Linked DNA regions of Coturnix japonica. The protein of the gene in region 1 interacts with the protein of each later gene in a biochemical or structural test. Links are inferred from orthologs where the notes say so. Each region holds a gene or a part of one and is shown in the gene's direction. Other genes may lie near its edges.

Region 1 (6,865 bases):
CATCACTCAGTTTGCCAGGAGTATCCTCTGCACTTGGGTTAAGAATATTGATACCCAAGTGTGGAAAGCATTAGTTGTAGCACTAAGACAATGAATTGGGATGCAGATTTTGCTGGTGTGAACAGACCCAGCAACTATCAGTCTTATGGGTATTCATCTAAGAAGATTTGAGCTGAGGCTTCCAACCATTATTGTTGTTGAATGGAATGAGGAAGTGAACTCAGGTGTGTTGAGTCCAGCTGGGCACAGGAAGGCCTGAGGGAAAGACCATTGTCAGGTTTGTGGATCAAGTCCTCTGCTTTAATTAAAACAAATTTGACAAATAGACGTGGCTTCTTTGAGTTGAATGAATTACTGCAACCAGAACAGTTCCCAGCTAATTAAAAGATTATGAAAAAATTGGGGGTTGAGTTAGCATGAAATCAATTTATAGATCTGATTGCTTCAACTGCTGAGCAAAGAAAATAAGCGTTACCTTGATATCTGATTTATTTCTCCCTGTCTGTGCAGCATAGGACCAGGACCAGGTTTGTTTATTTGTTTGTTTGTTTTGTCAAGGATGTTTTAGTTTTCAGAATAAGCTTTCAGTTGCCATGGATGTGAAGGGGCCGAGCAGCCAGGCTGCTCCCTAGTGTGTGACTTCAGGCTGGTCACTGCACACTGGGTGAGGTAGCCCTCCCAGTCACTACAGTGGTGGCATGTCAAGCAAGGCTGTACTTGTTTGCTCCTTCCCATGCCAGCTCATTCACTAACTCAGGCTCACTATGTTTTGTCTGAAAGTCAGACTATAGTCAGATAGATGGTGGATGTGGATGCAAGTAAGATAAAGTAGATGTTGTCACACCAGGCTGCATTTCTGTAGAAGTAAAAGATGGTCATATTAATGAAATTCATAGATACTACTAAATTTGGAGGTATTTCAGTCACCAGAGAGAACAGAAAGGATACAGTTTATTCCTACTCATGCTGGTGCCAATGACAAGTTTCACATTCAGCTGGAGAATGCCCAAGATTACGAATAATTGTTGTTCTAAAAGACGAAGAGCGTGCATCAGAGTGGTTGTATGTTGCTTGGACTGGTTTCCAGCTTGTCTTTAAATTAAAGCTTTTACGCTTTCTAACAAAGTGAAAGAATTTCAGACACTGAGTTGGTCTGCGTGTTAGGGCCCAGTCGATAAAGGTGACAGGAAATGTAGGCTCACAGAGTTCAGAGAAGAGCAGTAAAGCTGGTGAGGGGAATGGAGCACAAGTCTTATGAGCAGTGGCTGAGGCAGCTGGGGTTGTTTAGTCTGGAGAAGAGAAGCCTCAGGGGACACCTCATTGCACTGTACAGCTGCCTGAAGGGAGCTTGTGGTGAGGTGGGTGTCAGCCTCTTCTCCTAGGTAACAGGGATAGGATGAGAGGTAATGGCCTCAAGCTGCACCAGGGGAGGTTCAGGCTGGATATTAGGAAATATTTCTTCTCTATAGGAATAGTGAGGTATTGGAACAGAGAGGTGGAGTCATGATCTCTGAAGGTGTTCAAGAAACAAGGAGATACGTTTTATTGGGCATGATGATGTTGGGCTCATTGTTGGACCAGATGATTTTAGTGTTCTTTTCCAGCCTTAACGATGTTGTGATTCTATGATACTCTGCCATCTACATCCTAACCTTATTTCCTAGCTGAGTGTCCTTGTCACTGAGTGCGGAGGAGTAGGGAGACCGACCTGCTGAGGTGTCCGAGGGTGGGGAGAAGGTGCCCACCTGCAGCCCAGAACCAAACTCGGGTGGGCCGGGAGGTCTGTGGCCGAGGAGCGGCTGCCGAGCGGTGCGGGGCGGACTGGCGGCCCGGGCCCGGCTCCACTAGGTGGCAGGATGCCGAAGGGCTCCGCTCCACTGTCCCCAAGCCCGCCTAGAATTAGTCCTGCCTCTCCGCATTGTCTGAAGACATGATAAAGTGTAGACGGTTTCCTGGAGCCCTGCCTGCTCTGTGCTTCTTACTGGTTTTGTCATTAATAGAGCAAAGTCGGGGAGGATCCATGGGAGCTCCGAGGCACAAAGGAGCCCGGTGCGATGGCAGGGAAAGGGGCATCTCTCCGCTGTCTGCAATGTGTGAGAAGTGCTGAAGCAGAGCGATTCCTTATGAAATCACGGTGGGGTGTAGAAAGAAGTGGTGAAATAATAATAAAAAAACGCCTGCTAAGTTTACAAAGAGAAACAGCAGCTTTAATTGGAGTGCAGTTTATAAGAGCACAGAGTAGCGTGTTTGCCTGTTATAGATTTTGCTCGATGGGGAACAGCTGCATGCTTAAGGAAGCATAGTCTTATTCCGTCTATATTTTTTCAAGTTATAGAAGTGAAAGGAAAACTGAGTTTGTAAATATGACACGAAAGCATTAAATAAAATTATCTGGTGTGCAGCATTAAAGCCGAAGTTGTTGTTCCTGCCTCTGGCTCTTTGTCTTCTTCTAAGCATGCTTTAAACTGCGCTGTCCTTGGCAGCAGGGATCCTGTTTGTACAGCACGCATCCAGAACGACGAAATCAGCCTTACTGTTAAACCTGGCTCTGCAGACTGAGCTCTGTGAGGATGTGCTCCAGCTCCCATTCCTTCGGAGCTGTGGCTGCACGAAATTTGAAAGCCTGAAGCACGCGTGTGTGTGTTTTACAGCGGGTCCGAAGGCGTCCGTCCGCACTGCCCGCTCTGTCCCGCCGTCGATGCTTACGGGCTCAGGTGCGCTGCCTCCACCGCTCCGCAGCCGGGGCAGGAGGCTCCGCTCGGAGGGGCGGTGTCTCCCCGAGGGGCTCCTGCGGTGCAGGGTCGGGGCCGGGCAGGAAGCGCCGTCCCGGGGAGTCGGGGCGGGGAGCGCGGGCAGCGGGTGCCGGGCGCGGCGGAGGAGGAGGAGGCGGAGGAGGCAGAGCGCGGGCCGGCGCCGCAGCCCTCCTGCTTTTGAACCTGGGCAAAGCAGAGGCGGGGAGAGGGGCAGGGGAAGGAGGCAGGCAATGACATCAGAGCGTCCCGAGCGGATAAGGTGGGAGAGCCGCGGGAGTGGAGCAGCCGAGCCGGGCGTGAGCGATTAGCGGCCGCCGTCGTCCGCGCCGCGCAACGCAACGCAACGCAGCGCCGGGCACCATGCAGAGATCCCCCCTGGAGAAGGCGAACATCTTCTCCAAACTTTTCTTCAGGTGGGAGCCCCGGCGCGGTGGGACACGTGCGGAACGGGGCTCCCGGGGCTCGGCTCCCTTCCCCTGCTCCCCGTTCCCCGCCCTCCCTTCCCCTGCCCTCCCTGCCCTCCCCTCCCGCCCGGAGGCCGGGACGCCGCTCGGCTCTGAACGGGGTGAGCGATGGGAGCTGCGGCCGAACGACGGGATCCTATCTCTTCTCTGGCATGTTTCTGCGGGGTTGTAGCACCGAGCGGTCTCGATCTGTCAGGTGTCATAAACCCTCACCTGCCCCGGACAAATTAATTTATGGCATAATTTGAGCAACCTTTGGTAAATTACTCAACGAGGTGATCTGTTCTTTCGTCGTAAACGGTGAGAAGAGGGGAGGGGCGGCGGGGGGTGCTCCCGGAGCGAGCGTTCCCCCGTTCGGTTCCTTAAGCTTCAGCGTTTGCTCGGCGTGCGACCGCAAGACGCGATCTTACTGGAGGGAGTTCCTTGTGAGCCTTGAGAGCGTTCTCTTACTAGTTCAGTGCCCGGCGCCTTTTCTTTCGCACAACAACAAATAAAAAGAGAAAGGAGCCAATGCCAACACCGGTGCACGGCGCTCTATAAGTCGGTATAGAAGCCTGAACACGCTCTACCTGACATTGTTCGAGGTAACGCTGCCAGCTGGAAAGAACAAACAATCCGGCTGGCAGCAGCCCACATGCCGTCAGTTTTGCCCTTTTCCTAAGGAGCTGCTTTCCCCTTTTGTTCCTTGAGGGTCTTTCACACAGCACTGAGGGATGGGATGAAATGTTAAAAGCATGAGCGCGGGGACTGAAATGGGAACACGTGGTATGGAAGCATAACATTGGCCGAATAATCGAGGGCTGTTAACTCGCTTTCTAAACCTTTTGGGATGGCTTTCCCTTTCAACAGGTTGCCCTGAGCTTTTCTTCTTCCTATTTCTTTTTTTTCGTTTAAAAAAGTTCCACAAGGGAAGTGCCCCTTGTGAATTGCTGTTTTGCCGGCCTCCCCCGTTTTGAGTTCTGTTGTTCATCATTAACCAGGTGTGGTTGCAGGGAAGGATCCTGAACATAAGCGGTTTTTGAGGCTTTATAACCATCCAGGTAAAGGTGAGGACTCCAGGGGAGTCTGGTACAGATGCTGCAGTGAGTACAGCTGTTCCTGCCCTCAAATGCAGATAGATCCAGAAAATGTGGATGGGAATAAGCCTGTATATATTAATCCATAGAATAAGCTTCAGTTAGTTCTCCGCTCAAGTATTAAGATACAGATCTGTGGGACAGAAGGCTACATAATGAGTCCAGTGCTTGTGGAGACACTTGTATTTCATTTTATTTCTTTGTAAAGCTTTTGTTAGGGTTCTCCCCTAGGACCTGGGAAGGCGTCAAGGAAAGATTCCAATGTGATAAAGTAAATGTATTTCTGATTCTGACCTTAGTTAATGTTTCCATGGCTGAAACCAGGTGCAGCTCATGCTCAGGAAGTGCATAATTAACCATCCTGGGATCTGATCCGAACTCTTTTAAAATCTGAATCTTCGGGTCAATTAAATGTCATTTAAATCTTACGTATCGTGGAGGAGATGTGATATTGCACCAACTATCTTACTGTAAATGAAGTGATAATAACTAATATATGAAGTAAAAGAGATAATTGTGATCAATACTGACTACATCAGATAAACTTGTTTACAAAACTTTGTAATAACTGTATGTCACAGAAAAATCAATCTGTTAAAGTACACATCCAGTTCGCTGGATGAGAACAGCTAAAATTGTATGTGTAACTGTGTAAAGACTCATACGTTCTGAATGATGTGTGTCTATTAATTACTAAGTGCTCTGCTTACTTGCATTGTGACAAGTACGCTGCAAAGGCCTTTGTTTGTTATGAGCATTACATGAAAGGTCTGAAAAAATCACAAGAGCAAAAACCAAAAGGTTAGAAAATGTATTACATCCAAACTGGCAGATAGAATGTCTTTCAATTAAAAATAAAGAAATCAATGTATCTTTTAAAGTCATGCATTATTTCATGAGACACATTAGCTTGTTTGAAAATGCTTCAGTCCTCAAGGACTCTAGCAGTTCTTGTCTCATCAGGGGTAGATCCATATCAATACTAAGGACTAATAAAAGGTGAACAATCACAGAGCAAAAATGCATCAAGGCATAAGAATTTCATAGCGCGTGGAAGTATATTTTCTGTAATGAACTTTAAAGAGTCAGAGCATTTGCTACATATCAGCATCAACTGTTTCCAGTCCACTCAACTGGAAACATCCACAATGCAGTGATTAATGTGTCAGATTGGAACAAGGTTTTCTAGGATGTCAGAATATTTTATCAGCATTTTAACTGAATGTACACACATCAGTGGCTTCTGAAACTGATGCTATTAAGTAAAGAACTTCAAGGCATGCCTACATGTTAGTATTTGCTTTAGTTCCATGGAAGTGTGAGACAGAATCCAAAGGGCATTGGATCTGGAAGGAGTAGTCAGGTCTTTCTTTGGTGTGTATGGAGAAAGATGGCTATGTCCAATAATGGTATGATATATTTTTTTCAAGTACAACATTGATGATGAATGCTTTACTGAGGTAACTTCTTCTCATGGAATTACTTCTGAAGTACCGAGCTGGTTATAATTCAGTTGAGTTGAAGGTCACAAAAGTGTGTTAGTATTATTCAGAAAATCTTGTAGATAAATATAATGTTATTTAATATTTATTTAATATTTCATGAGGTGTTATCAACTTCTTGATACTGATGTCTGCAAAACTGTTGACTGGGTTTTATTGCTCTTTATAGCCTGTTTGTGCAGGAGGGATAGGGCTGAAGGTGTTGAAGTTAGAATGGAAGTACTTGCTCTGAAGAGGATAATTGGAACATTTCAGTGTTGTTTGTAGTTGCTTTTTTTTCCTTCTTAATTTGTTATGCTAAAAAAAGTTAATATGTGTATACAAGGAGTAATAGCTTTGGGAAATGTTGCCTTTTGGTTGGACTTTCAAGATTGTCTAGGCTGATAGGGCAACAGAAGAGAATTGCTTGGGGTGACAATGACAGAAAGCATTTAGGCACAAAAATCAACCTTCATGCTAAAATCTGAACAGTTTGTGCTTTAGAAACTGAGCTGTGATGGTTCAGAACTGAAGTATGAATGCAAATGGTTTGAGATCTGCTTTTACTATGACACTTAGAAACACTAGATATTAACTACTCAGTGTTTCAGGGTTTTCTTTCATTTTATTTTTTGTATTACTTATTTGGAGTTAATATCTTTTATTTGAAACCACTGAGAAGACCTTGATGTGCTCACTGTCAACTTCTTGTTTAAAGAAAGCAGACTTTTCTATAGAGGCATGCACCTGTGTTCATGTTCCTTGTGAAGCTTCTTTCTTGTCTTTGTAACAAAGCTGTGTATGCTATAGGATTTTGCAGGGTCAAGACAATACCTTATGTAGCAAACAAGGTACTTTGCTGCCACTTGGTTTTTACTGTAGATAATTGGAGGTCAGGAAGAATCATTATGGTTTAACGAATGCAGGTATAATTAATTTATAGTTGGATATAGAAAACACAGAGAAATCACTGGATTTTCAGAACTTTGGGACAATATATTTCTTTTTCTTCCCAAGTTCAAAAGTTCAAAAAGGCAATCATTATGCTCTCATTCAACTCTCTAGGCATATACTTTAGCTTTGCTACATAC
Region 2 (6,410 bases), on another chromosome or scaffold:
TAGAAGTACCCAAAGGAGATCCCCATCCACTTCTACCAGTTGCCTTTAGCTGGGGGATGGGGATTCATTACCAGCATTTTTTTTTGTTTTGGTTGGGAACATTGGGGAAATTCTCACATGTTTTTATTATTTTAAATGTAAGGTTGTAAGAGATCGTCCTACTGATAGATAGATACCTGAGGTCTGATAGCAGGTGGGAGCAGTGTTGCTTTCAATGCAGATTCAAAACTCAGCTGCAGGAAATGTTTTCCTTAAACCATAGACCCCCTAAAAAAGCCCCGAAGGCACTTCTGTTTCTTAGCAGCTCCTGCCCAGGACATGGCTGTGCCACTGTGCCTGGTGCACGAGAACAGCAGTGGGATAAAACCTGCTGTGTGCTGCTTCCTGTTAGCCCCAAGGAACCATAAAACATTTTGCACGTGATAGAGGTGAAGCACCAAAGCCCTCACGTGCTCTGCTAATATTTGCAGCGAGCTCAGCCTGGACGTGCTGTGGGCACCTTGGGCAGCACCATGTGCAGGGTTGATGCTTCCTCTCTGCAAAGACTTCTGTAGGGCTTTCCCACTCTGCCCAGATCAATGTTTCCATAGGCTCACTGCTAAGTGACTGCAGAGCAGCTGTGCCACATGGCTCCAGGTGGGCACACAGATGATCCCTCTCTGCCCTGTTGGCTCAGTACTCCCAGTTCTGCATGATCATTTTTGAGCTGGTTGCAGGACAGGGCTGCCCATCCCCTGGTGCCATCCCCAGAGTGGCCAAAGATGCAGCTCCAGATCTGGGCATCACCCAGCTTGCTCAGAACATCCCTGCAGGGAGGGATGAGTAGCAAGGTGAGGATGAAGCCTTGAGCCGTGTTGGAGTCACTGGGAGCCAGGCACGGTGCTAACATCAATCAGTGCTGGGAGTTAAGGTGGTGGTGGTGGGGGGGGGGGTGGGTGGGTCTGGGCTGCTGTTGGCTGAGGAAATGCATTTTTTGTTGTTGTTGTTTCAATTTCTCTGGAGTGGTTTTGGACAATCAGTTTTCTAAAATAAACTCAATGAGAGGAAATCCATTTGTTAACCTGTCCCCATTGAGCTGGAAGGAGGGGATGGTGTGCAGATATGTTGCTTCCTTCTCAACTTAATTCTGATTCAGAACAAAACCAAGCCGATAAATCAAACACAATATCTTATCCTCTCCCCCCGCGTAACCACCCCCCATCATCTTTCTTTTTTAAATCAGGATTTAAATGGACAGAAAGAGCTGTGTCCGCGCCTCTGCCACCTGAAGAAAGGTCCCAATGGTTATGGCTTCAACCTGCACAGTGAGAAGTCCCGCCCAGGGCAGTTCATCCGCTCGGTTGACCCTGACTCACCAGCATCCAGAGCAGGTCTGCGGCCCCAGGACCGCCTGGTGGAGGTAACAGCACATGCAGCATGGAGCTTTGGGGCTCTTTTGTTGCATTTTTGGGTCCTACCAACATGAATCCTCCTGGAAATGAGGAGCTGGAGTGCAGAAGGGATGTGATGCTCAGCTGGGAAGCGTGATGCTGAATCCAGGCCCAGTCCTGTGCCCTTTTCCATCAGATCCATCATACTGCTGGGCAGGAGTTTGGAGCCAGGGGAAACGCTTGGCAGAGAGATCTTAAAGCATAGGATTGTGAAAGATGGGGGGAGAAACCACTCTTGGAAGCGATTTTGCTTAATGCCGAACAACAGAATTCTTGATGTTGCACAGAATCACCCTCGCCTTGTTTGTCTCTTGGTGTTTTTACTGAAGAATGAGTTCCCCCATTTAAAGCAGCACAGACAGATGGACAGACATTACTTGTTTCCCAGCTGGGCTCCACACCATACCCCAGCCTGGCTCTGCCCTGGCACTGTGGCAGTGTAATGCTGGGGCTGGGACACCCATGGCTGCGGTTCATGGCAGCGAGGTGTTTTGTTATTTATTTATCATCCATTGGCCAAGTGCCCGGCATGCACAAAGCAGCGAGGGGTGAGCTGGAGAGCTCAGAAACCTGATCCCCCCCCTGCTCCAGCTCTTTGGGGCTCTGATAAATAATTGATGTTCCCAGCCCTGCTGTACCAGTGTTGGGGTGGGAGAGCAGGGCAGTCCCCTTTGGGGTCTCCCTATGGGTCAGGGTGAGTCCTGGGGCAGGACTGGGGTAATATTGGGGTGACATTGGGGTGATGTTGGGGTGACATTGGGGTGACATTGGGGTGACTATGGGGTGATGGTGGGGATGGAGCATGGCTACAAGCCAGGCTGGCTCCTTGGGACTGTGTCTCCTACAGGGTCTGCGCCAGCCCCAGGCAATGGGTGTGTTCATTTCTGAGCACAAACAATGCCTAGAAATCACAATTGTTCCCTTTCTGCCTGGGAGGAGAAATCTCATCTGCTGGTGGCTCCCAGGTCGCGTGCGATGAAGGGAAAATGAGTCAGCACGTCAGGGACAGACAAGCACTGTGCTCTGCCTGGCTGCTGGGACAAGGGATATCCTCCCTCATCCCTTATTGGGGATGAGCTCAGGCAGGATGAGGTTTTGGGGGCAAACTGAAGATGAATACTGGGCTTGAAGTTGCTAGAGGGGAACCAATGTGGTCCTGAGCACTCATGTAGTTTAGGAGGTGGCAGAGTTTGGGGGTCCGGTGGAATTCAGGAATTAGAGCCATAGAATCCTTTGAGTTGGAATGGACCTTTAAAGGTCATTTGGCCAACTCCCTGTAATGGACAGATGGAGCTTGTGCAGAGGTTTTTTTGGGTGTCAGAGATGTCTCTGCTGCAGTCCAACACTGCTGTTTTTTGCAGGTAAACGGAATAAATGTGGAGGGGCTGCGGCACTCAGAAGTGGTGTCCCATATCAAAGCCAGAGAGAGCGAAGCCAGGTTGTTGGTGGTGGACCCTGAGACAGATGAGTACTTCAAAAAGCTGGGGGTGACCCCCACGGAGGAGCACACCAAAGGTGAGAGCCTGGTTCTGCCCCTGTGACTCACCAGGACAAGGGTGGGATTTCAGGAGTGACAGAGTCATGTTTCCCTTGTCTCATCCCTGAGCGGTTTCCTGAGCACCACCCAGCTATTTATAAACAGTGAGAATACTCCCAGCCACAAAACAACTCATTATTTTTACACCGTGAATAATTAACATAGGGACTGGCTGCCAGAAGGCGGCTGTGGGGTGACGATGCTGCGTGGGATGTGTCGATGGGTGCAGCAGCACTTGGTGCAAGTGGTCCAGCTGTGGGGATGCTTTGGTGGCACAACCCAGGGCTGCTCGGTGTCTGGGAGCAGAGCACTGCTGTGGGGCTGCAGGGCGTGATGACCCTTGGCAAAGGAGCCTGAGGGCGCAGAGAGAAGTAAGAACAGCCCCCATGTGCACACGCAGAGATGAGCTTCACACAGCAGCGATCACAGATGTCCGCTGCAGGGAATGTTTCCCTTGCTGCTGGAACCTGGCAGGGAAAGTAGTCTGTCCACTCCACACCCTGTCACCATCCGACCCGAGCTCAGTCAGGTGCTCCGTGGGAAGATTGGTCCAGAGAAATTGAGTCAAAGAGTTCTGAGGGCTGAGAGCGGTGTCAGATGCTCCAAGTGGGCTCAAAGAGGAGCGGTGTGAGCCCGGTCTGCTGGCACAGGCACAAAGGAGCCCTTGTTCCCAGCAGCAGGGACACAGCCAGGGCCATGCGTGTGGGTGTGTGAGTGCTGGGCGCTGGCTCCTTGCTCCCTGCACCAGGAGGATGGGGGTTTAGTGAGGTAGGAGTTGGCCTCTTCTCTCAGGTAACAGCGATAGGATGAGAGGTGATGGCACTGTGTTATGCCAAGGGAGGTTCAGGCTGGATACTGGGGGACATTTCTTCTCTGAAAGGGTGCTCAGGAACTGGCACTGTTGCCCAGGGAGTGGTGGGGTCACTGTCTCTGAAGGTGATAAGAACTATGGAGATGTGGCACTGAGGGACATGGTCAGTAGGTAGGGTGGGATGGAGTGGGGGTTGGCTTAGTGATCTTGGAGGTCTTTTCCAACCTTATTGATGCTGTGATGCACAATGGCTGCAGAGCTGTAAGTTAGAAGCCCTGGGCTGCTGCAGTTACAAGCTGCTCTTGCTTCACTGGGTACAGTGTTGCACAATGAGCACACAGTGTTGTTCTCTGCTTGGCTGCTGTAGGCTGGGGGCTGCTCAGGGGTCCCACTGGGGTGACGGAGGGGCACAGAATGGGGTCTGTGCCCCCAGGAAGTCTTTGTGCTAAGTATAATTCAGTCACTAGCCCTGTCACAACTGGCACATCTGTAGCACCGTGTCTCATCTGTCCCAGGCTGCCTTGAGCAGTGACTTGGTTGTGGGAACTAGCAGCCCATCTGCATTGAATTTGCCATTGTATGGAGGATTACTAACACAAATTATTGGAAGTGGGCAACAATGTGCCAAGGTCCATGAAAGGCAGCGGGTTGCTTGCTACATGCTATTGCAACACCAACAAGTTGCTGATTTCAGCAAAGAATGTTGGGCTGGTCTGTAAGATTTCCGATTAAACAATTCCCAGGAAAAATGGTTTCGCTGTCAAAAACAGGAGTGCACTGAATGCAGAGCTTAGGGAGGGAAGTGGTTTAGTACCCCTGCTGGAAGGGGCTTTCTCCTGATGAAAGCAGCAATTGAATGAGGTTGGGATTGCGGTTCTGGGGGGCACACACTGGGTCTGGCTGCATCTCTGGGGTAGGGGGCACATGGGGCTTCTGGGGCCTTGTTGGGACTGCAGCCCCTGTGATGGAGCCCAGCCCGGCCGTCCCCATGAGTGCACTCACTCTGTTTCCTCTGCCTGGTCCGCAGGTGTGGTGCCTCAGCCCATGACGAATGGATCTGCACAGATGCAGGTGAGTCCCCACCTGCTCCCAGGTTGCCTCAAAGCAGAGGGAACCTCCTAGCCTTGCTGAGGCTCATTGAGCTCAATTAACTGCTGCTGGCTAATTAGAATTGCTTCCTGCTGTAGCTATAATTTCAGGCTTGCACAAGACTGGGCTCAGCCCCATTTGTGCCTTTTCACCAGGAGTAGCACCCTGCATGTACCATTGTCCCTGCAGGCATAGGGTGCTGCACTGGGACTGGCTGTGATGTTTGTCCCCATGTGGTTATTGGGTTTTATTGTTTCTGCCCCCACACAACCTGAGCTAATGTTTCTGTTTCCCACAGCTGAATGGAGGTTCCACATCTTCATCTCACAGTGACCTTCAAAGTCCTGGGAAGGAATCCGAGGTAAAAACCCCAAACACGTGCTGCCTTCTTTTCACATATGTATGTACATGTTTATGCCACGGTACTGTGTAAAATCATATTTGCATGCAATTTCAGTTTCAAATTGAAGGCTTAGGTACACCTGCATCCACCCAGCAATCAATACAGGGAGTTTTCTGTCATGCCCTGCCCTATAAATCCATGTGAGGTGCATTCCTTCCCCTTCACCAGGGATGAAGGTGTGTGGTGCCACATGGCTGTGCTGCCAGCAGAGCCCTGCAGCAGGGGATGCACCCCCTGAGCACCCACAGCCAGCCGGGCAGGGGGCTGTGAGCAGCAGCTGTGTTCAGGGCTGAGCCAGGCGCCTACAGGCTGGCAAGCTCCCTTTTGCTCTGAGCATTAAATAATGCATGGCCCAATTGCACAGTGCATGTGAACCGGTTTGCATCTGTGAGCCAGAGCAAAGCTGGTCCTCTTGCAGGAAGCACTGTGTGTGTGAGGGCAGCAATGCTAGAGGGCAGGACAGGCTTTAAAACGTGGAGATCTTTGTTCTCTGTGTTTGCCTGCTGTGCTTATGTGAGTATGGGGCAGGCAAAGCACTGCACTGGGGCACTTCTGCGGGCATTAAGACCAGGAGCTGCACCATCTACCCAAACCATAGACATGGTGCTGGTGCAGGAGCTTCACATTGTACCTGCTCTGGAGCTCACCCACTGAAAGCAGCTCTGGTGCAGCACCCAGCAGGGCTGGTCCTTCTCTGCCCTGTAGATTCCAAGGAAGGGTGAGGGCTGAGATAACCCAGTGCTGCATGTTTAGCACAAAGCATTTGGACTTGTGCATTAATTGTACCCCTGGGTACAATGTGTTTGTCATCTTTAATCTATTACTGGGACAAGGGAGGGGAGAGGAGCCTATAGGCAATGGGGGCTTCTGGCTTGAGGGCACATTGCAACAGTGGCAGTGACTTTAGAAAGTCACTGATTTTCTTCCCATAAAGTACTTCTATCAGGAAGATAGAAAGCTGCATCTTTCTGTACAGTGCCCAAAGGAGAATGTCCTGGGTGCAGCCAACTGGGCAGGAAGGAGCCACCAGCTGCAATGTAGTGATTGTGGCCCTGCAGCTCCCATGCTGGTTAAACCACAGAAAGTGTGGGGTGGGGGCTCTGACCCAGCACTGGTTGCAGTGTGGTGATGTAGAATATA
Region 3 (6,410 bases), on another chromosome or scaffold:
AATTTAAGGACTGGTATATTAGTTCAGCAAAAAGAAATTTGTGTGCTAGTTCTAAAACTTTCCAGTTTAGCTTTGCTTAGTATGTGAACAGTCATGTTTTTCTGAATGATCCTTGCTCAATGAAGTCAAAATAGATTACTTTTACCTTTGCATCCACCAGGTGCAAGGACTTTTTCTTGGGTTTCATATAAATTGTTTTGAGTTATAGTGTACCAAGATAGAAAGTTGCTCATTATGGCATAACAAGCAATGGAAATTTGCCAAACTGGGGGAAAACAGCTAAAGGTCAGCTAGGCAATATCAAGAGGAAACTGAAGGAAGTGGTCTGTGACCATCCTAGGTTCCCACTGTGCAGGCCCAACAGGGTTTTTAACATATATTAATGAATTCTTGGAAAATAATGAATATGTAGTTTCCAGAAATGTATTGCATGTGAATGGCTTAAATGCTTAAATTTAGAACATGAACTCCAGGAGTGAGTGCTTGATTTGTCAAGTTGCCAGGTATGTATCATGAACTAAAAGGAATGCTGTTTTTCTTACACTATGTTGGAGTTAGCAAGTTTACTTTCCTGATTTTTCTGATGACATTCCTGTGCAGGAAAACAAGTGTGTGTGTGTGCACCAACAACTTGCTTACTGCATGAAAATGGTTTTGGAAGAGGTAATTTATGCTGAAAGAAAAAAAGTTGTGTTAACATGTCTAACTTTTCTGCTGGGGCTCTAAGGATGTGTGGGTTTTCTTTTTTTTCTTTTTTCTTTTTTCTTTTTTCTTTTTTTTTTTTCCTTTTGCCAGTAGGAAAAAGCAAACAAACAAACAAACAGACAAAAAAAAAAAAACCACCAAAAAACGCACCTTAAGAGGCAAGCCTGAAATCCCTTGATATTAGTAAGTTGAAATAAGAACAGTATGGTCTGCATCTCAAGCAGTTCTGGTAACTAACTCAAATCTCTTTTGTAATAGGTTGTAAATCCATACTACTTGCGTGTTCGAAGAAAGAATCCAGTGACAAGTGCATATTCTAAAATGAGTTTACAGCTGTATCAGGTGGACAGCAGAACATATTTACTGGACTTCCGTAGCATTGATGGTATGCAAAGACTTGTGTTAATGGAACTATAAGGGAAACTGTTCTAAATTCCAGGTCTTAATTTACTTGTGAATAAGTGAATTAAAACTGTTACCCTTTATCAGCTAAAGCCAGATCTCAGTTTTAGTATTTCTTTGCTCCTTCCTGCTCTAGTGCTCCTGTAGTCAAATGATTAGCTGGTTCATCTCTCAAAACCCTCTTTAGCTGTATCAACTCCTCAGTTATTGGTTTGTGTGTCTCTACCAGCACTGATGCCACTGGTACTAAAAGGGGCAGCGCTATGAAGAAGCAATACTTAGGTTACTTTAACTGTCTGCTGCTGCTTAGATCCAGTGATACTTCATAAAAGGGTCTAATCACTTTACTGTACTAACAATGTAAGAAAAATACCAGTTCAGTGGGAGGGAAGAAGACTGCCTAGAGCCACTCAGCCAAGAAAGGACAGCCTGTCTTTTCAGTCATGAAGCTGATTTGGTATTTCTTTTTGCTACAAATAACTATTAAGTATTTCTTTTATGGGACTGCAGTTTCAAGTAGATTTGACTGATGTAAAAAACAGTCCCTCCTTTACTCACTAATTTTTCCTGGACATAACTCTAAGGTACAAGTGTGAGTCTAATAACAAGCTAATGTTCAGTTTCTAAAGTAAGGTAAAAGATACTTCAGCAGACCTTGCTTCTAAGATGGAAGTATTTCTTTCTAATATGGGAGGTAAGCTTAAGTTGCTATAGATATAGTTCAAGGTGTATAAAATTCTAAAAGAAACACATCAGTTTGTTTTTCACTTTTGTAAATAGTTGCAATCAATGCACAATTAGTCTTAAGAATATTAGAAATAAAATATAAATAACCAAATACAATAAAAACAAAGTAGATGCTAGGAGAAAGTATGTACAAAATGTTTGAACTGTTATTAAGCTTAAACAGATAACTATGGGAGTTTAAAGATAAATGAAGTAAATCAGTTGAACTGTTAGCCACTGAAATTATTTACTGACTGGAAAATGATGGCTGCTCGTCTAATGTTGATCATATTGTCCTGAAGCACAGTTCATAGCACTGTACCAATTTGCATAAGGATGACTGCTTCTGTTACTACTTCTATAAGCTTTTGTTTTGTATTAACTATATATACTTCACAAGAGCTGTTTAAATGTTAACAAGGATTTTAAAAACAAGATTAAGTCTGAGGGGAAAAATATTTTGCTGATCTTCTGGCTAGTTTGATGTGAATGACTAATTTTTTACTCTCTACTGGCCTTTTCAGATGAAATTATTGAAACAAAGTCTGGGACTGCAACTCCACAGAGATCAGGTTCTGTGAGCAACTACAGATCATGTCAGAAAGACTCAGATGGTGATGCACAAGGAAAATCTGCAGATACGTCGCTTACCTCATCAATGACCTCTTCACTTGATTCTTCGACAGCTGACTTAACTCCAAGACCTGGCAGTCATACAATAGAATTTTTTGAGATGTGTGCAAATCTTATTAAAATACTTGCACAATAACTTTGAAGGTGGGCTTATTTCTTTTACAGCAATAAGCATGCATAAATTGTAGTCAGATGCTTCCAGTTGTAATCAATTTAAATTAAGGCGCTGAAAAAACTAGCTGCAAAATGCAATTTACCTGGGGATTTAAATCATTATGAATTAGGTATATTGCTTTGAAGCTGGAGTGAATTTTGATTTTCTGCTATCCAGTAGCTTAATACAGGTACAGGAAGTCACATGCCCCTTGGCAGTGCTTGTAACATTTTCATTGAGTGCACGTTAGTATTTATATAACATTTACATTACATGGTCCTTTTTGTCCTTCTTGTTGGTGATGCATACCTCTGGAGCACTGTAAGAAAATGTGCGCTTACAAGTTCATTGACCTAAGTATGACTTGTTGGTCACTGTCTACGTTTGTGCCTCAGTTGATCAGAACAGTTAATGTCTCCTAACAGTAAAGTGTTAAAACTGCTGTTCCTTCCCCCTTTATTCAGCAGTAAATGAGATTTTTAAACAAAGTCTGATGTGCTGTAATATGCCATTCAATAGTTGATGCACTTGAGTAAATGTTGGCAAATCCAACCAATTGGAATTTTCAGTACGTGTAAGTGCTCTGCAGCACAGTTACGAGTACAGTTCTCTGGGGATTAAGTAGAACAGTTGAAGCCACAGCAGTGCCAAGAGAGACAATGCTGAGAAGACACGCCATGCAATGGCCTGAAACAGATCACTGCTCTAAAGCACTGTGAGCAAGCTCCTGATCTGTGCAGGTTTGCTAGCTCGTACCATAGTGTAGTAGCAGCACAGCTACTGGCAGGCTGAGAATCCTTAGAAGTAAATGCATGTAGTTAAGAGCACAGCCTAGGGGTTGTTGCATGTTATTCTGCAATCTGAAATTGACACGCTTTAAAGAAAAAAAAAAGTTAATACTTAGATATGTTTGCTTACATCACATGTTAACTTACTATATGCTATGTAGAATTCACATTGCAGTTGAAACTTATCGATAGGCTTAGTTTTTCCGGACTACCCTCAAACAAATTTTACTACTTAAATTGTGGAAATTAATAGTGCTGTTTTTCCATTGAATGTTTAAAGCTGAATATGACAACTAAAGTGTTAATGGTTAGGAGGTTTTGAAATGTAGATTGCAGTCACAGATAACAGTAGTTGTAACTGCAGAAGAAATGTTTTAAGAAGATGACCTTAAATGCTGAATCAGATATATTTGCTGAAAAATGCTAAATATCTTGTAAGTTGGATGTACGTACCCACAGTTCCATTTTCATCTAGCACTGATGGATGTAAATGCTAATCAGTAAATTGCCATAAACCATTTTAATTTCTTATTAGGGGATTTTTCTTTTTGAGATAGACTACATGGCTTTAAAAGATTGCTCTCCCATTTAGAAACTGGAAATCAAGGCATTAATATAAACAGTGTAACCTGGACTTTGTTAGGATGGATGGGACTTCTAGCCAGTGATGAGTCTAAGATCCCATCCCTGACACGCTGCTAACCTCAGATGACAAGAACAGTGTAATGCAGTCCAGTTGGCTTCAGTCCAGAAATTCCTCTGTTACAAATTTGAAGAAATTTAGATATGCTTAAGCCTCAGAAGTGCTGTAGCTCTTCTCAACTGGGCAATTGTGTGTCCTGTCTTGTATGTAGGTACAGCTTCAGTTTCTTGTCCTCAAGTAGTGTCTCGCACGGTCCCTGTAGTGCAAGGTTATATTTTGAATAGCATATATGTAGCTCAGAGTGGAAGGGTTCTCCTAGGGAAAAACTATTGTGTTTGAACTATTGAGACTGAGATGACAGTATGTGGGACCAGCTATCAATCATACTTTTAAGTCCTTTCTTCAGTCATGTAAGGAAAGGTTCTGATGTTCTGAATAAATAGGTGTGCTCATTTTGTTATCCTTTTATTTTGAAACCTAAATATTGCACTTGTACAAATGTAACAAACGCACAGATTTTTTTATTGCAGTAATTCCTTATCTGGAGTTTGTTTGGGATCACTAAAACTGCCTCTTGCATATGTTTAACTAAATATTTACTAATGGTATCTGCTCCTGGTGAAAAGGTGCGAGCAGCTCTTAATTACATACACTTCTTTTGGCCCTTCTGTGCATTATGGCAGCCGCGGATTTTACTTTGTTCTCTTGTCTGAATTTTGTTGGCACGATGCAACAGTTTTGATGGCCAAAAGTTTTGTGATAGAACCGAGGGGATTTTATAATACAGGTTTGGGGAGTGGGGAAGGGGACTGACATCCTATTTTGAATCCGGTGCAGTTGTCTGTTGTGTCACTTTCTTACGCTTTGTAGATCTTTATTCTGGAGCTGCTTTCTTCAGATGTTCCTACTGAGCTTGGAGATCTTCTTTTGCATCCCGTCAGGCTGTGAGACTGAACCTCACTGAGGAAAACAGCAGGAGTGTGAGGATGTAATTGATGTGAATACGTGAATTGGTCAAGTATGTTACTCTGCAATCCAAGCACATTCAGTTGGAGTGTGCTGAATTATTTTTCCTGTGTTCTTGCTTTATGGAAGCACAGATAAACCCAGTTATCTCTGAGCTCAGTAGGTATTGAATTAAAAAAAGAGGGGGAAAAAAAAAAAGTATAATTTGGGTGCATAATGCTAAAAGCAAGAAGAAAACGTCATGTTTGTCATGGTTGTCTTGTTATGAGCGTTAACTACTAAAGTGGAAATGTTATTTTACCAGTTGATTACCATTGTAAGATTTGAAGTCATGTTCTTTTAATAAAGATGTGCCTACTTCCTATGTTGATTTTTTTTCTGACAAAGTAACGAATGCAAAAATGCTTGTTTATAACCGTGTTGACTTTATAAAACTTTCAGAAGCTTAAAGTAAAAACGAAGTACTTAAGCATCCCGTCTGCAGGTGTGTGCTGTCTCGTGGTGTTACGCGCTGTCGTTGTAGAGGGGCTGGGAGGGGACGGGCTGGTAACTGCGGGTTGCTGGACGGCACAGCGCCGCGACACAGCGCCGCAGCACGGCCCCGCGGCCGGACACGGCCCTTGTCGCTCCCCGTCGCTCTCAGCCCACGGCGGAACCGCTGCCGCTCCGCCCTTCCGCTTCCCGGCGGGTCAGAGGTGTGTGGGGCTTGAGGCGGCGCGGGCCGGCAGGTAGCGGGCTCTGGCTGCAGGCCGGGCCTCTGCCCGCCCCCCTTCGGGCAGCGCTCGGGGCGGTGTTCGGGCCGTGTCCGAGCCGTGGCCCTGTGGCTCCGCGGGGAGCTCGGCGTAGCGCTCCTGGGTGTGGGCTGTGCTTTACTTGCTGCTTTTGCTTGTGGTTGGTGCAGAACGCCTCGCTACCGCTTGGCGTGGAGCTGCTGGGCGGGATCTGTATGGATGAAGGGCGTTCTGCTTCACGTTACTGCTCAAGATGAGCAAGCTGTGTTTGTTTTCCCGCACGCCGTAAATCTAGCTCTTCTAATCGCTGAAATCTGTTTTCCTCTAGTTCTCCCAATGGCTTCTTTTGGCTGGAAGAGAAAGATCGGCGAGAAGGTCTCGAGAGCCACTTCGCAGCAGTTCGAAGCGGAGGCGGCGGAGGAGAAGGGTCCGGGTGGTGATGAAGATGAGGACTGGGTGAACGCCGCCAAGAGGAGGAAGGAAGTTATCGAGGACTGCGTAAAGAAGAGCAAACAGCTGAAGGATGAGGGGGCAAGTTTGGCTGAAAATAGGAGGTACTGATGTTATCTTCTTTCTTTGACTACCTGCTACGTGTTATTTTAATCCTTTTCCTGAACATTAAGTGTTAATAGTTGCATTCACGCATCCCGTGTTTGAAAAAA

Evidence for each region. The genes of interacting proteins can lie anywhere in the genome.
Region 2: the proteins of CFTR (region 1) and SLC9A3R2 form a complex in vitro, tested with the Homo sapiens proteins (4 studies listed by BioGRID and IntAct, with this or other methods). The link is inferred for Coturnix japonica from reciprocal best matches to the Homo sapiens genes CFTR and NHERF2.
Region 3: the proteins of CFTR (region 1) and PRKAA1 form a complex in vitro, tested with the Homo sapiens proteins (2 studies listed by BioGRID, with this or other methods). The link is inferred for Coturnix japonica from reciprocal best matches to the Homo sapiens genes CFTR and PRKAA1.

The regions. Positions count from the first base shown.
Region 1 is NC_029516.1:22,123,363-22,130,227, reverse strand, and holds the start of CFTR (cystic fibrosis transmembrane conductance regulator), read left to right. Parts: upstream 1-2,926; 5' UTR 2,927-3,113; coding exon 3,114-3,166; intron 3,167-6,865. UniProt on the Homo sapiens protein: Epithelial ion channel that plays an important role in the regulation of epithelial ion and water transport and fluid homeostasis. Mediates the transport of chloride ions across the cell membrane.
Region 2 is NC_029529.1:6,208,082-6,214,491, forward strand, and holds part of SLC9A3R2 (Na(+)/H(+) exchange regulatory cofactor NHE-RF2), read left to right. Parts: intron 1-1,222; coding exon 1,223-1,399; intron 1,400-2,791; coding exon 2,792-2,945; intron 2,946-4,805; coding exon 4,806-4,849; intron 4,850-5,165; coding exon 5,166-5,228; intron 5,229-6,410.
Region 3 is NC_029547.1:11,798,032-11,804,441, reverse strand, and holds the end of PRKAA1 (5'-AMP-activated protein kinase catalytic subunit alpha-1), read left to right. Parts: intron 1-963; coding exon 964-1,090; intron 1,091-2,357; coding exon 2,358-2,602; 3' UTR 2,603-5,486; downstream 5,487-6,410. Other genes in the region: TTC33 (tetratricopeptide repeat protein 33), read left to right, coding at 6,085-6,302. UniProt on the Homo sapiens protein: Catalytic subunit of AMP-activated protein kinase (AMPK), an energy sensor protein kinase that plays a key role in regulating cellular energy metabolism.